2 linked regions of the Elephas maximus indicus genome follow. The protein of the gene in region 2 purifies or fractionates together with the protein of the main gene of each other region. This does not show direct contact. Links are inferred from orthologs where the notes say so. Each region holds a gene or a part of one and is shown on either strand. Other genes may lie near its edges.

Evidence for each region.
Region 1: the proteins of MPHOSPH6 (region 2) and EXOSC6 purify together in Homo sapiens (affinity purification with mass spectrometry; 3 studies listed by BioGRID and IntAct, with this or other methods). This does not show direct contact. The link is inferred for Elephas maximus indicus from reciprocal best matches to the Homo sapiens genes MPHOSPH6 and EXOSC6.

The regions. Positions count from the first base shown.
Region 1 is NC_064839.1:40,209,204-40,216,025, reverse strand, and holds EXOSC6 (exosome complex component MTR3), read right to left. Parts: upstream 2,644-6,822; 5' UTR 2,615-2,643; coding exon 1,796-2,614; 3' UTR 592-1,795; downstream 1-591. Other genes in the region: AARS1 (alanine--tRNA ligase, cytoplasmic), read right to left, coding at 4,169-4,354, 4,807-4,920, 5,313-5,399, 5,531-5,650, 6,487-6,600. UniProt on the Homo sapiens protein: Non-catalytic component of the RNA exosome complex which has 3'->5' exoribonuclease activity and participates in a multitude of cellular RNA processing and degradation events.
Region 2 is NC_064839.1:48,078,828-48,086,165, reverse strand, and holds the start of MPHOSPH6 (M-phase phosphoprotein 6), read left to right. Parts: upstream 1-4,315; 5' UTR 4,316-4,338; coding exon 4,339-4,389; intron 4,390-4,473; exon of another isoform or gene 4,474-4,720; intron 4,721-5,028; exon of another isoform or gene 5,029-5,099; coding exon of another isoform or gene 5,100-5,108; intron 5,109-7,338. UniProt on the Homo sapiens protein: RNA-binding protein that associates with the RNA exosome complex. Involved in the 3'-processing of the 7S pre-RNA to the mature 5.8S rRNA and play a role in recruiting the RNA exosome complex to pre-rRNA; this function may include C1D.

The sequences.
Region 1 (6,822 bases), about 7.9 Mb from region 2:
ATGGTTCCCTTCCCTGCCTGTGTGTTTTGTGAAGGCCTTCCGGTGGCACCTGTTCTGGAGCTAGGGCAACAGAAGTGGAGGCACAGCTTGCCCAAACCAGCGTCCCAATAATGGTGGATGTCCTGTGTCCAGGTAGTCCTGGGACTAGCAGGGCTGGAGGGGGAGGTGGCCTGGACTCCCAGCACCAGTCCCCATCCTCAAGAAGCCAAGGCCAACTCGAAAGGGACAGAGGGACAGGGTCCCCTGAGAGCCCAGGGAGCATCATCAGCCCCCTCTGAATACAGATACGGCTTCAGCTGCTCTTTTCCCCTCCTGCTGCCCAGCAGCCGGCCCAGGCCACCTTCTCCAGCCACAGTGGAGCACAGGAAACAGAACTGTGTTCCTACAGGCCCCCTCCCAGTCTGAAGCAACTGTATATCCTGGGGAGTTCCTCACATAACCCCTTTGGTTCCAGACTCCCCATCCCCTCTACATAGCCATCCTTCAGAATCAAGTGTATTTTTATGTCCTGTTTCTCGCTGGTGTGATACTATGTATTTCAGATCTGCTCTGGAAAAATGTATTATGTCAGAAGGGGAAAAATAAAATATTTTTTCTGGTCAGGAGTTCCTGATGTGGTCCCAGTGCCTCATTCTGGGTCTTGGGCTCCCCCAGGGCCAGCCCTTCCTAGATAAGCAGAGCAGGCCCTTGAGACACAAGTTTGGAGGCTCACAGCAAGCCAGGTGCAGAAAGAGGACCAGGCTGCTGTGGTTCTGAAGGGCTGTCTCACCAGGCTTCCTCCAATCCAGAACTGAGCATGAACCCACAGGGCTCAGGTGCCACACAGGGCAGAAGACCGTACCTTCACAGTCAGCCAGCGGAACAACCAAGCACTGTCCTGTTTCCCAGGATCCAGAGGCTTATTCCTGGCAGTTCACCTGCTCTCTCCCAAGCCTAGACAACAGGCAGCAGATCATGAAGCTAGCTCGGGGCCCATTAGCAGGAGAGGCTGTGGAAGGAGGGCTCTGGCCTCCACCCTTTCCAGCTACCTCACCCTGAGCTGTCGCTATGCCCAGTTCACAAAAATCAATCAGGGAATAGGGGGTGCACCTAGAATGCTTCTGGGACCACACAGCTCCCCTGACTCCTGTTTCATCTCAGCAGCTGCCCTGACTCTGGTACTTGAGGGTGGGGAGACAGCTTCCCCTCCTCAAAAGCAGATTTTTTCACATCAACTCCTTCACATATTTCACCCTGTCTCTTCTCATGTTGGTCTAACAAAGGACACATCTAAGGCAGTGATCCCCAGAGCCCTTGGCACCAGGGGTCCAAGACACTACCCACCTCAGAAGATCCTTGCTCTTTTAAATCCTATACCAAGAAGAGCCACAACAGAAAACGTTGCTCAGATATAAAAAGTTTTTGTTTTTAGTTCATATGTCCATCCTTTCAAAAGCAGCCCAATTATAGAGAGTCCATCCTTACAAGATAACAGCTCTAGGTCTCGTTTTACAGATCAATCCAGCTCAAGTCCTTTCCAATTTGGAGTCAGGCTGAATTCACAGGTTTCTTCAACTGGGCTGGACCTGGGAGCCAGCTCAAGCAGAAAAGTTTCTCTTCTGGACAGGTTTTTTGAAACAGCTGTCTAGGGCATCAGTTCTGTGTGGCGAGGAGGCGGCTGTTGCCAAACTGTGCCCCACTCCCCTTCTCTCTGATCATCTCCATTTCCCAGCTGGGCGCAATGTGGAGACCGGAGGCAAGGGTCCTTTCCGGGATGGCGGCGGTCTTCGGAGTCGTCTTTGCTCAGCCTTCTGGCTCAGGACAAGGTGGCTGCGTCCCTCCGGCGGGCGGCCCGCACCAGGCACTGCTGCAGCACGGGGTAGAGGCGCTGGCAGCCCTCGAGGCCCAGGCGCACAGCCTCGGCCCAGCTCTCAGTTGGACAGCCCTCCCCGCTGCCCAGCAGCCCGGCCACCTGGTTGAGCACCGGCATGAGAGCCACAGTGAGGCCGGCGGCGGCACGCTCCTCCTCGAGCCGCGTGGGGTCCAGGAGCCAGGCGGGCGCGGGGCCCGGAGCGCGGCTCAGGGCACAACCCACCACCAGGTCGTACATCTCGACGCCGGCGTCGGCCAGCGCGAGCGCGGCGGCCGTGAGCGCGGCAGCCAGCGCCGAGCCACCGTCCTCGAGCAGCAGCGCCGACACCTCGAGCTGCGCGCGCGGGTAGCGGCCCAGGCGCACGGCTGGCTCAAGCGCCTCTTGCAGCGCCAGCGCCAGTTCGCGCTCCTCGCCGCCCCCGGGAGGTGCGCGGCGCCGGCGGCCCGCGAAGGGCGCGCGGCGGAAGTCGCAGAGCAGGCGCCCGCGCAGTGCGGCCGGGGCTTCGCCGCCCGCCCCGGCTGGACCGCCGCCGCGCTCGCTACTCTCGGCCTGACGGGGGCCCGACACGGAGCACAGCACCTTGGTGCCGCCCGCCTCCAGGTAGGCCGAGCCCTTAGCCTGGCTCAGCAGCCCCGCGCGCGCGTACACGGGCCGCAAACGCGTCGGATCGCGGGCAGCAGGCGCCTCGTCCTCGTCGGCCGCGTACAGCTGCGGTGGCTGCGACTCCTCGGGCCCGCGGATGCGGCGGTGGTCCCCCGGCATGGCTGCACCAGACGAGCGAGTCGCTTCCGCCCGTCGATTCTGCTCACGCGGGGACGCTTCCGCCCGCTTAAGATGCGCGCCCGCGCGGGGTCTGTCGGGATAGCGGTGGGGCTGCACCGCCCCCTGCCGCCCCGGAGGGAGAACTGCGGGCCCTACAGAGCCCTGGTCCGCAGCAAGCGGGACGTGGGCCGGCTGGGATGACCCCAACCTGCCAAGCCAGGGCAAACCCAGATCGTATTTTCCTTTCACTTGTGACAAAAAAACAAAACAACCAAACCCGTTGCAGCTATTTTCCTAACTTTTTCATGCCTGTGTTCCCTACTGCTTTCGGAGGGCAGGGGCCTTTTTTCTGTTGACTCGTGTACACTCCATGCCCGGCTGGTGTAAACACTCTGTAGAATGAATGAATGGTATTACGTGTCCCCTCATCCCTGGACTGTGTAATTGTCTTTGTATCCCTAACTCTTCACCTGGCTGTGCTGGTTATATCCAGGGCCTCAGCACCCTCCCTCTGGCTGCTTCTCTCACCCAAGCAAGGACAGCCCCTCAGCCCCAGGCCTGACAGCCTGACAGCTGGCCTCTGCTGCTTCTCCTAGCATAGACCTGCTTTCCCTACTTCCTCCCCTCTGCCAGCACGGGCCACAGAGCCAGCATGCTGTACCCAAGGGCATCGAATCAGTCACAGCTGCCGCAGCAAGCAGTACCTTTTACCTCCCCTCACACTACTGTCAAACCTAGCTGTCTTCAATTGGGTGAACTGGGCTCAGGGCCAGGGTAGGGTATTCTAACCATCTTTAGGTCAAGGAAGTAGGAATGGCGGGGCAGCCACTGGAGGAGGAGGCAATGGCTGCACCCTAAATACCTCCTATACTGGAGCATGCCTCTAACCTCACACTTCATCTCACACTCCCAACAGCTGCCTCTCCATCTCACCCACCTATTCTGCCTGCCTCCACCTCCATAGATCTCTTGAGGCAATCCCAGGAGCCATTCGCACAATTCAGGGGGCCTGGGGTTGGACTTGAGGAGGACTGGTCCTTTCAGCCAGAAGCCAGCTGCAGCCACTGCATTTATGCTGCAGACACCCAGGGAGCCACGGGCTGTGAATCATGGGACACCTGGGTGGGAAGCGGGGGATCGATCACAAGGTATCATCAAGTATTGCACATGGTCCTTTTATTCTTTGCAGCAAAAGTAATTCCTACCTGCACACCCAAAAGCCTCAGGTCTGTGGAGGAATATACCTCAGAAGTATAGACAGGTGCAGGACAATGATAAATAGCAATTCTGGGGTAATGGTTCTGGACGGATGGCACTGACTATAGGGCTTGGGGTGGAAATGTAAAGTGGGCACGGAGCCACAGGGAAGGACAGTGCCCTGACTATGTTCCAATGATTGCTGGGCTACGAGGACAGATGGGGCTGCTTAAAGGTCCAGGATTTGAATGTCCCTGTGGCGGATGAAGAGCTCCCATCTGGACTGATGCATCCTGGTGAGGGGCAGTCACTTCCTGGTAAGGAGCAGATGCTTCCCAGTGGAAGCCACCCTTCCCCTCAGTTCTTCACATCTCCCAGGTGAAGCTGGGCAAAGGATGTGGCCAGCTGCAGTGCCTCCTGCAGGCAGCCCACATTCTTGCCCGTGGCCTGGGCAGACACATCTTTGCCACCACCTTTGCCATCCATCAGGCCTGACACCTGCTGCACCCACTCACTGGCTTTCAGGCCCCGGTTGGCAGCATTCTGGAAGACAGGAAGGAAAAGTGGGAGTAAGACAGGATGGGATTGAGGGGGGAATGAAAAGGGGCGGGAAGGAGAAACGACGAGGGACCATTCCTGTCCTGTGTGAGGACACGGGCTGCTGCCAGAGGCAGAGACAGATTCTAGAGCAAGTGCACGGGGGCAGTCGATGGTCCCTGCCAGGATAAGGGCACCTCAAAGTCAAAGCTAAGTATTGGCCAGTACAATGAAACTTATTATTTTTTACCAAAGAGAAGGCCTGAGGGTAAGGGGTACTGGCAAAAGTGACCAAAGAGGAGGGTAGGAGAACAGCTGTTCCTAATGGACACTGCACAAACTTCCGTGGGCCTTGGCATCCAACTGTGAGAACTGACTTCCCTCTACAAAGCTGGAGACAACACTTCCCACAGTGACAGCAGCTTGTGGGGTCTGGAGCAAGCACAGGGGGTTCCTACCTGAGGCACCTGACACAGGCATGTGATCTTGCCAGCCTCATTGTCCACAGTGAAGAGCATGGCGGCCGTCTGAGGGGAATGTGTCTTGAAAAGTTTCAAAGCTTCATTCAGGGCCTGTGGGGAAAATCTGGTGTCAGATCATGGCACTGGGGTCTAGGCAACTTTCCTCACATGTGACAGGTTTGCGGTCTCAGGCCTCGGAGCACCGCCCCCACCCACGTTCCAAGAGTAGGCGTGGCCCCGGGAAGCTGTAGGAGGAGCCTGGTACAGGGCCTGGCCTCCATGGCCTCTAGTCCTGAGGTTTGCCTTCCGGGAAGCTGCTCCTTTTTTCTGCTGGGAGCCACAGCTCAGCCACCAGCTCTCATAGCTCAGGCTAACCTTCATTGAGACAGTGGGCTCTCAAAGCCACACCTCCCATACTTCAGCCACCAGAGGGCTGAGGCCAGAGAAGGGAACAAGCAATGGGACAGACACAGAGCTGCACTAGACCCTGGGCCCCTGGTTGCCTTGGCTGAGGCACCGCTCTCCATCTCCAGGATAACGAGGGGCTGGTTGGGGTGGCTGTCGATGAGCTGCTTGGTCTTCTCCAACACCTGAAAGGAAGAAGTCCAGGAAAACTTCAGATCAAAGACCCAGCCTCCCAAACCCAGAAAGCAGCTCTCCCAGCCTTTGCTGAGTAAATCCTCTCTGCTCCCTTCTGGCCACCAGCACTGCCAGGACTCACTCGCTTCTGGACATCGGCTTTGCTAGCACGGTCAAGGTCATCCATTATCTTCTTCAGGGATTTAAGGTGCTCTCGAAGTTCATCCTTCTGCCACTGAGGGATGACAGCAGTGGCTAGGGCCTGGAACCACAACAGGAAGACCATGTGGATGCAGACTGGGAGCTAGGAAGTGAGGCCTCAGCCCCACCCTATCACATCTGTTTTGAATACAAAGTCCTCCCCGTTGAGTGTCCATGAAGCAGAGAGAAGGAAGAAAACACAACAAAAAACAAGTGCCTACTGGCCTCAAGAACAGTCAGTATGTGAGCAACCATAGCAGTTGTAACAAGTAGGGCTGGAGAGAGAGGAACAGTATGGAGACTAGGATCCCTGTGAGACCTGGCCTTCACCAGGCCATGAACACAGAGCCTGTGACAGGCTCGGGGGAGCCACCAGATATTAATATAAAACACCAGGCAGGCTTGGATACAGAGGCCTTCCCCAACTCCCTTGACACAATGCTTGGAATGAGCTCTCCTGCCATCAGCAATGGAAGCAGCAGGCAGGAACCAGGGGTCCACAGGCCAGGATCCATGGAGACATCAGCAGACGTCAGCCTGAGGCCCCATTCCACTGAGAACCACGACCTGGCTAGTTCCAGTGAGTTCTTCAAGAATAGGCATAGTGAGGGGAGAAGCTGGCTGAATGGAAATGAAAATAAGAGAGTGGAGGGAAGGAATATGCTGTCTCATTAGAGAGAGAGCAACTAGGAGTATATCGTAAGGTATATATATAAGTTTTCGTATGAGAGAGTGACTTGGTTTATAAACTTTCACTTAAAGCACAATAAAAAAAAAAAAAAAAAAAAGACTAGGGATAATGTTTTATTCATCAGGCACAGGACCCAGCACTGAGCAGTGTCCTGTACCTGATGAATAAATCAGGCCCTGGGAGGAAGGGATGGAGGCTGTCTGTACCTCACCAAGGTCAGCTATTTCCCGCTGCACATCCTTGTTTGGCGCGGTCTGGGCCTTCACTTTGGCCTCCATGACAGACAGAGATTTCTTCAAGCTCTCTGCTTTCCTGAGGGCCTGGGAGAGAGAAATCAGAATTTCAAAATCTGGGGCAGGTAACTTTCTGCTTCACCATTTGATCGGTAAACAACTGTGGCAAGCCCCGATGGTAGGCTATGAAGCAACACACCCCAGGACACCAGAAGTTTCTCTTCCTTCAGGGAGCAAGTGCCTGCAGCCTGATGCCCCAGAAAGAAGCACCTTCCTCACATACCTGGCCAGCAGGAAAGCTGCACCCTA
Region 2 (7,338 bases):
TGCCTTAAGTAGATACTTATCGTTGGTGTTGCTGTTTGGGCTATCGTGATTAGCTCTTGAATAACAGCATCCAATTTCTCTTTAAGGAACTACCTCTCCCCGACAGTGTGCAGTCTTGCCAGTACTGTCAATCAGATCTTGCCCTCCCTCAGCTAAGACTCCACTTTCTCCTGGACTTTGAAAATTTAAGTATCCTAAGAGCAAAGAGTCCTTGGGTGGTACAAACAGTTAATATGCTAAGCTGCTAAGTGAAAGGCTGGTGTCCACCCAGAGGCACCTTGGAAGAAGGGCCAGAGATCTACGTCTGAAAAATCAGCCATTGAAAGTTCTGCGGAGCACAGTTCTACTCTGACACACATAGAGTTGCCATGGGTCAGAGCTGACTTGATGGCAACTGGTTAAGGTTACCAGTTACCATCGAGTCCGTTCCAAATCATGGCGGCCCCATGTAGATTTCCAGGCCTTTCTTCTGAGGTACCTCTAGGTGGGCTTGAACCTCCAAGCTTTCAACTTGGCCTTGTACTCAGGCCTTCTCATCAATCCATGAGTGACTTGGTTTTTATTTATTCTTCTAATAAATTCTTTTTTTTTTTTTAATTTATTTAATAAGCCATTGTTGGTTTCTAGTACTTGAGAGGAAAACAAGTAATACCTAATATACCACCTTCATGATCTCCTTGCATAAGAGTTCTCCCCATCCCAGACTCCTTTCCTACTCTACTTTCCACACTGGGAAGACATGTATAAGCACTATAGTCTTTAAATCAATGCTGTCAAAAAAGAAAAAAAAAGTGCAAGCCCCACATATAATTTTAAATTTTCTAGCAGCCTCATTAAAAATAAGTAAAAGAAACAGGTGAAATTCATTCTAATACTGTTTTATTTAAACCAATATATCTACTGCTATTCAACATATAATTGATATGAAAAAATATTAATGAGTTGACATTTTATTTTTCATTTTGTCTTTCAAATCTGGTATTTTACACTTTACACAAACAAAAACCCACTGTCTTCCAGTCAATTCCGACTCATAGTGACACTATACAGTACATCTCAGTTTGGACGCCAAATTTTCAAAGGTTAAAGTGAAAGAAAGTCCTTCCAAAACAATAAAGTTGTGTATAACAAAAAATATTTTATACTGTTTTTAAAAATATAAATTAACAAAAATTAAAAATTGAGTTCCTCAGTCCCATTTCAAGTGCTCAATATCCACACTTGGCTAGTGGCTACTGCACTGGGCAGCATAGGTTTAAATATGATCTGCTCCAAGGGTGAAGAGACTTGGGAAAACCTTTCCTTAATGGATTCGATAGATGGCAGGTATTGTTGGCTTTCACACTTCCAACAACTTCCATTATTAAAGGACTCAGAATTGTGTGAAGACCTATTAGAAATATTCTTTCCACCGAAACGATGTTTCCTCGGCTGTATAACTAATGCAGGTTAACACATTATTGAGTGTGAGACCTATCCTTTCTGTTCTACAATTCAGTAACAAAGAGAGATCAAGGAGTTATCTTCTCTGTCAGGGAATTTAAAGGCTATTACACTATTACTCTTAAGTCACTTCTTGTTTACTACATTTTGATGAGCGAAAAGAGACTTTGGGGCTTAGTTTTTAACATAAGCATTTTCACTGCCAAATAAAATGTATAAATTTGAATGGCAGGTTGAAGAGTTTGACCTCTATCCCCCAGGCAAAAATGAGCTATTATAAGTTCTGGAGCAGGTGAGTGATATGATAAAATCAATGTTTCAGAAAAATCAATCAGAATCCAATATGCAGGTAGACTGGTAACAACAGAGGTCCATAAGAGGGGTGTGGAGCTTCTGGCATCCTTCAAAGGTTCACACATGTTCTTCTGTTGGGAACACCATTTTCCTCTTTAGAAGCTGACAAGACATATGCTCATCCTTCAAGAACAAGTTCAGAGTCACCTTAGTTTCTTGGAGGCAGACTGCAGACTGAGTCACTTCTTCACTTCTGCTCCCATAGCACTTCTTTCAAAATCCTGAACAGAACCCACAAGGCCCTGCCTGATTCAACCTCAGCCTTTCTCTCTAGTCCCATGTCCTGTGGAGTTCCCTTTCTGTCTCTCCATCTCTCCACTCCAGACACTCTTCTCTATTCCATGGGCTGAATAAGTACCTCCTGGCCTCAGGGCAGGAGTCCCTGGGTGGCACAAACTATTAAGCAAGCTGTAGCCTGAAGGTTGGCCATTCAAATCCACAGAGGTGCCTCAGAAGACAGGCCCCGTGATCTGCTTCCAAAAGGTCACAGCCTTGAAAACCCTATGAGGCACAGTTCCACTCTGCAACATATAGGGTTGCCAACTCAAAGAAAGGCAACTGGTTGAATTCTGGTTTGTCCTCAGGGCCTTCTTATACACAATTATCTAGGATTGAAAGGTCTTTTCCCAGGCTAATTTCTCTCCTTTCAGATCTCAGCTTAAATACCACACCTTTAGGGGAGTCCTTCCCTTTCCCAGGCCAGAATGATTAGCTGCCCTTGCTATACCCTCACTGTACTCCAGACTTTTCTTATAAGGCTCTTATCACAACTGTAATCTACAGCTGTTGCTCCCACTAGATAAACTCCATGACAACAGGAACTGTCTTGTTCTCATTTCAGGGCCATTGCAGTTGCTAGTCGATCCTTTTAGAACACTCTATCTCCAACTCTTCATACATTAGGGTTTTTTTTTTTCCTCTCAACTGTCAAGCCTTAGCACTATCGTTTGACAAGGACCATCCCAGATCAGCTCATCTAAAGTAACCCTAAAAGTCACTCAATCATAGCACCCTATTCCATTGTACTCACCACTTATTTATGTCCAGAATGTCAGCTCCAGGAAAGACAGGTCATGTGCTTTTACTCACTATTGTACCTCACACATTAGCACGATGTCTGACACACAGTTATGAATGAATGTGGTTCGGTATCCACTTACCAAATCAGATTGCATTTATTTACTCCACTGAGGTAACCTGCAAGTCAGAGCCGTATTTTTATCAGCAACATTCAAAAAACTATTTAAATCTCAGCTCTAACACTTTATTAGCTGTGTGGCCTTGGGCAAGTCCCTTCACCTCTCTGGGTCTCAGGTTCCCTAACTATATCATGATGATAACAATATCTTCTTCAGAGTTCTTATTAGGATCCAATTAAAAAAAAAAAAAATTACACACGAGGTACCCAGCACAAGAGTATGGTATATAATGCACGTCGCTATGAGTCGGAATCGACTCGACGGCACTGGGTTTTTGTGGGTATTTGCTGAAATGCTATTAGGTTGGGTGATGTTTTCCAAAGTGTGGGACCTGCCAACAGTGTGAAAGATGCCTTTAGGTGGTACAAACAGCATAAATTAAGAGCATTATAACTGTTGTTAGGTGCCGAGTCGATTGTGACTCCTAGCTGCCCGATAGGGGTTCCTAGGCTGTACTCTTTACTGAAGCAGTTTGCCAGGCCTTTCTTCCACAGAGCAGCTGGGTGGGTTAGAATCTTAACACTTTGGTTAGCAAAGGTCAGCAGCCAAGAGCTTAACCTTTGCACTACTGGGCTCCTTCGCATTATAACTTTCCCTTTTCAACGTTCTTACAATTCTTTAGATGAAAACCAGGTCTTCTTGTGCTCCTGAGTCTAACATCTGTCATCTTCCCCATCTGTTGCTATCGCTCTTTAGCAAAGAGATCGTTTAGGGAGAACAACAGTTAATAAAGGAACCTAACATTGTTTTTCATCTTATTTGTTTGCATAGTGGTTAAGAGCCATTCTGGAGTCAGACTGCCTGGGTTTACACCCACCTCCCTCACTCAGTTACTTCAGACTACTTAATGAACCTCCTGACACCTCAGTTTACCCAACTGCAACAAGGGAATGATATCCACCTCACAGGGTTAGTTTAAACGTAAAATGAACTATTAGATGGAAAGTGGTCCAGAACACAGTAAGCCTAAGACCCCTGTTAAATAACAACGGTCCAGGACGTGGGGCAGGGAGGGGTCCCTGAGGCGGGCAGCCCTGAGACCCTGAGGAACGCACCCTTCACTCGCGTGTGGGGACCTCAGCTGCGGGCCAGGCTCTCTCTCGCGCTCGTCTGATTTCGTGCTCTTTGGGGTCTCCCCATGGCATTTAAGCTGCTCTCACCCTAGCGTCGGCGGGCAGCACGACGCTCCTTCAGCAGATGACCGTCCCACAAGGGACTGACGAAGACCCAGATTGCGCTGGAACTCGAGGGACGGGGCGGAGCCATGGGGGGGGGAACGCCGCGTTACGTAAGACGCCGCCACGCACGCAGCGCACGGAGCACGGCGCTGGGCTGGGGCAGCATGGCGGCCGAACACAAGACCAAGTTGTCCAAGAACCTGCTGCGCATGAAGGTGCGGGGACTTGGGGCGGGCTGGGGTAGGGGCACCTGGTCCTCCGGGCCTGGCCGGGGCCGAGGCGGTGTGCGTACGGGAGGTGCCGGCAAGGCCTTGGGGGACCCCCAGCTTTCGCGTTCATTCATTCACTTAGCACCAGCTCTGCGTTAGGCGCCGGGAATCAGATTGTGAATGAGGCCGACTCTTGAAACCCGCTGTCGGATACGGGAGACAGACGCTTAAACAAGGAGAATACAGCGTGCTAAGCGTAGGACGGTGGAAGTGTCCGAAGCCGGGGGAACTTACTTGGAATTCTCGCGGAAAGTGGCCCTTCAGTAGAGACTGAAGGGTAAGCAGAAGGTGGTGAGCATAGACCTGAGCTGAGGGAGAGGCGTGAAGGAGTGTTAGAAATCTGAGAGGCACGAAAAATAATCTTTTTCCTCCCTAGAAACCAAAGATAAATCAGTGATACAGCTGGAGGGAAAGTACCGAGCAGTGAGGCTGGGGGTGAAGGCAGCGTTAATAGCCATGGCACTTTAGTTGAGGTTAAGGATTTTTTTTTTTTTGCCTTAAGAGCAGTGGAAAGCTATTGAGCGCAGGGAACAGTATCATTGGCTGTGCTTTTTACTTTTAAAGGTTACTTTAACTGCCCTGTAGGGAATGCATTGGTGGAAGGAAGGCCTGACAGAAGACACAGTTGCAGTCTGGAAGACGAGTTAAAAGTTCTGATGGTCCAGGTGAGGGTTGATGGTTACCAGAATGAGTGCAGTGGTGGTGGGAATGGAAAGAATGTTAATAGTTGAGGTGAAAGTGAGTTATGTCACCCAGCTTTAAGCAAAATTGATTTTTAGAGTTGAGATTGAAGTCATCTTAACCCAAGAATTTCAAAATGGAAAAAATAACAAGGGTAGATAAAATGTGTACAGAAATCGAGATGGGCAAACAAAGAAGACTTAAAACATAAATAATAATAACGAGCATTTTTAGTCCTTACTATGTCCCAGGCAGTATCCTGAGTGCTTTTCGTATATTAACCCATTTAATCCTGACCATAACCCACTGAGGTGGTACAGTTGTCATTATTCCTCTTTTACAACTGAGGCAAATAAAACAGAGAAGTAAGTAACTTGTCTAAATTTGCATCGCTAGTAAGTAGTGTACACAGGACACAAACTCAGGCAGTCTGCCTCCAGAACCCGTTTAAATCACTATACTTCTTGTCACTGAACACTCATTATTGTTAGATGGGTACCTGGCTGTCTCAAATGGTTAAGTATTCAGCTACTAACTGGAAGGTTGGCAGTTCGAACCCACCCAGAGGCACTTGAGAAGACAAGCCTGGAGATCTGCTTTCAAAAGGTCACAGTCTTGAAAACCCTATGGAGCAGTTTCTACTCTGCACACATGGGGTCACCACGAGTTGGAATTGGCTCAGTGGGAACTAACAGCAACAAGATTTTGGAGAAGTTGAATGTGTTGAGAGCAGAAATTTGAAAACATTTTAGAAGTTGTTTTGGCTCTTAGAATAGGCCGGATGAATATGTACTAGGTGTTTAGGGCTCAGATCAGAGATATGACTGTGGAGTTAGGAAGGAAGAAATTAATTTTAAGAAAAAATTATCCACTCCCACCCAAATGGCTGGGATTGGAGACTTAATTGAACATTGAAAGCAAAGGAAAAGGGAGAAAGTTACCCAGGTTTTTCAATTTGGGTTAGCAATTTTGATTGTTGACAAGAAGGAACTTACCCACGGGATTGCAAGAGAAACTTTACGTAGAGTGTCCTGTGAAAATAAGTGGAGCAGCTACAGACTCAGGATCCAAAGTTCAGCCAAAGCTAAGTATGGAGCATAGATGAGAGGATTGAAGAGTTAATCCTGACTCATTTGTTGTTAGATGTACTTGAACTCCTCTGATTTGGTCAGCATTTGGGGACTGGAGGTGTAAAAGTGGAGTGGGGCGTCATACCTCCTCATCTAACTTCACAAGGGGGGAGGAGAGTCATCAGCATTAATAGCCCAAGGCTGATTGCTATGAGCTGGAGGTCAGATATACCACCCTTCAACCTTTTTACCAATTCTGACACCAGCCATCCCTCCCGCAATACTCTGTGCTTTTTTGCTGGGTTTGATAATTCATTGCAATGGCCACACACAGCTCACAGACCATATTCACAGTTATGGGGTTCATTAGGGAAGTAACAGGTTACAAATCAGGATCAGGAACAACTCAGGATACAGTTCTTTGGTCAGGACAGCTTTTCAGCTGTGCCCACAGGACGGCCTCTCCCTCAGCCCCTGGGCCTCTCCTCTGCCCTTCTCCAACAAGCTCTGCTGATAGGTTCCCAGAGGCACCCCACTCCGCCAGAAAATCTTCTGCCTGAAGGCATTCATCTCTCACTCCATAGGTTGGTGAACCTAGCTTCTCTGACCCCACTCCGCCAGGTAACCTCCTGCCAGAAGGCACTCAGCCTTCTCACTCCATGGGTCAGGACACCCACTGTAGCTGCCTTATTCTGTGGGCTTCAGCCGACCGCTCCGTCTCCTGGGTCTTCTGCCGCCATTTCTCTGCAACAGCTTCTCACCATGTCACGCTGTCTCTGGTGGAACAGCTCTCTTTCTCTCTCTCTTGCTTTCTCTCTCCTGGGTATAGGACAGTATCAGTGCAGAGACCCCAGGTCCAAAGGACATGCTCCCAGCTCTTCTTCTTGGTGTTAGTGATATTCCCTCTCTGTTCTGGGATTGGCTCTCTTATAAGCCTAGCGTGATTCCAAAACTGACCAATCCCTTTGTTACATCTTATTTGTATGGTCCTGAGAGCTCAGCTGCTAACCTAAAGGTTGGCAGCTCAAATCTACCAGCCACTTGTTGGAAACCCTATGGGGTAGTTTTACTCTGTCCTGTAGGGTCACTATGAGTTGGAACCAACTCAACAGCGCCTAACAACAACTCCCACAATGGTGCCATG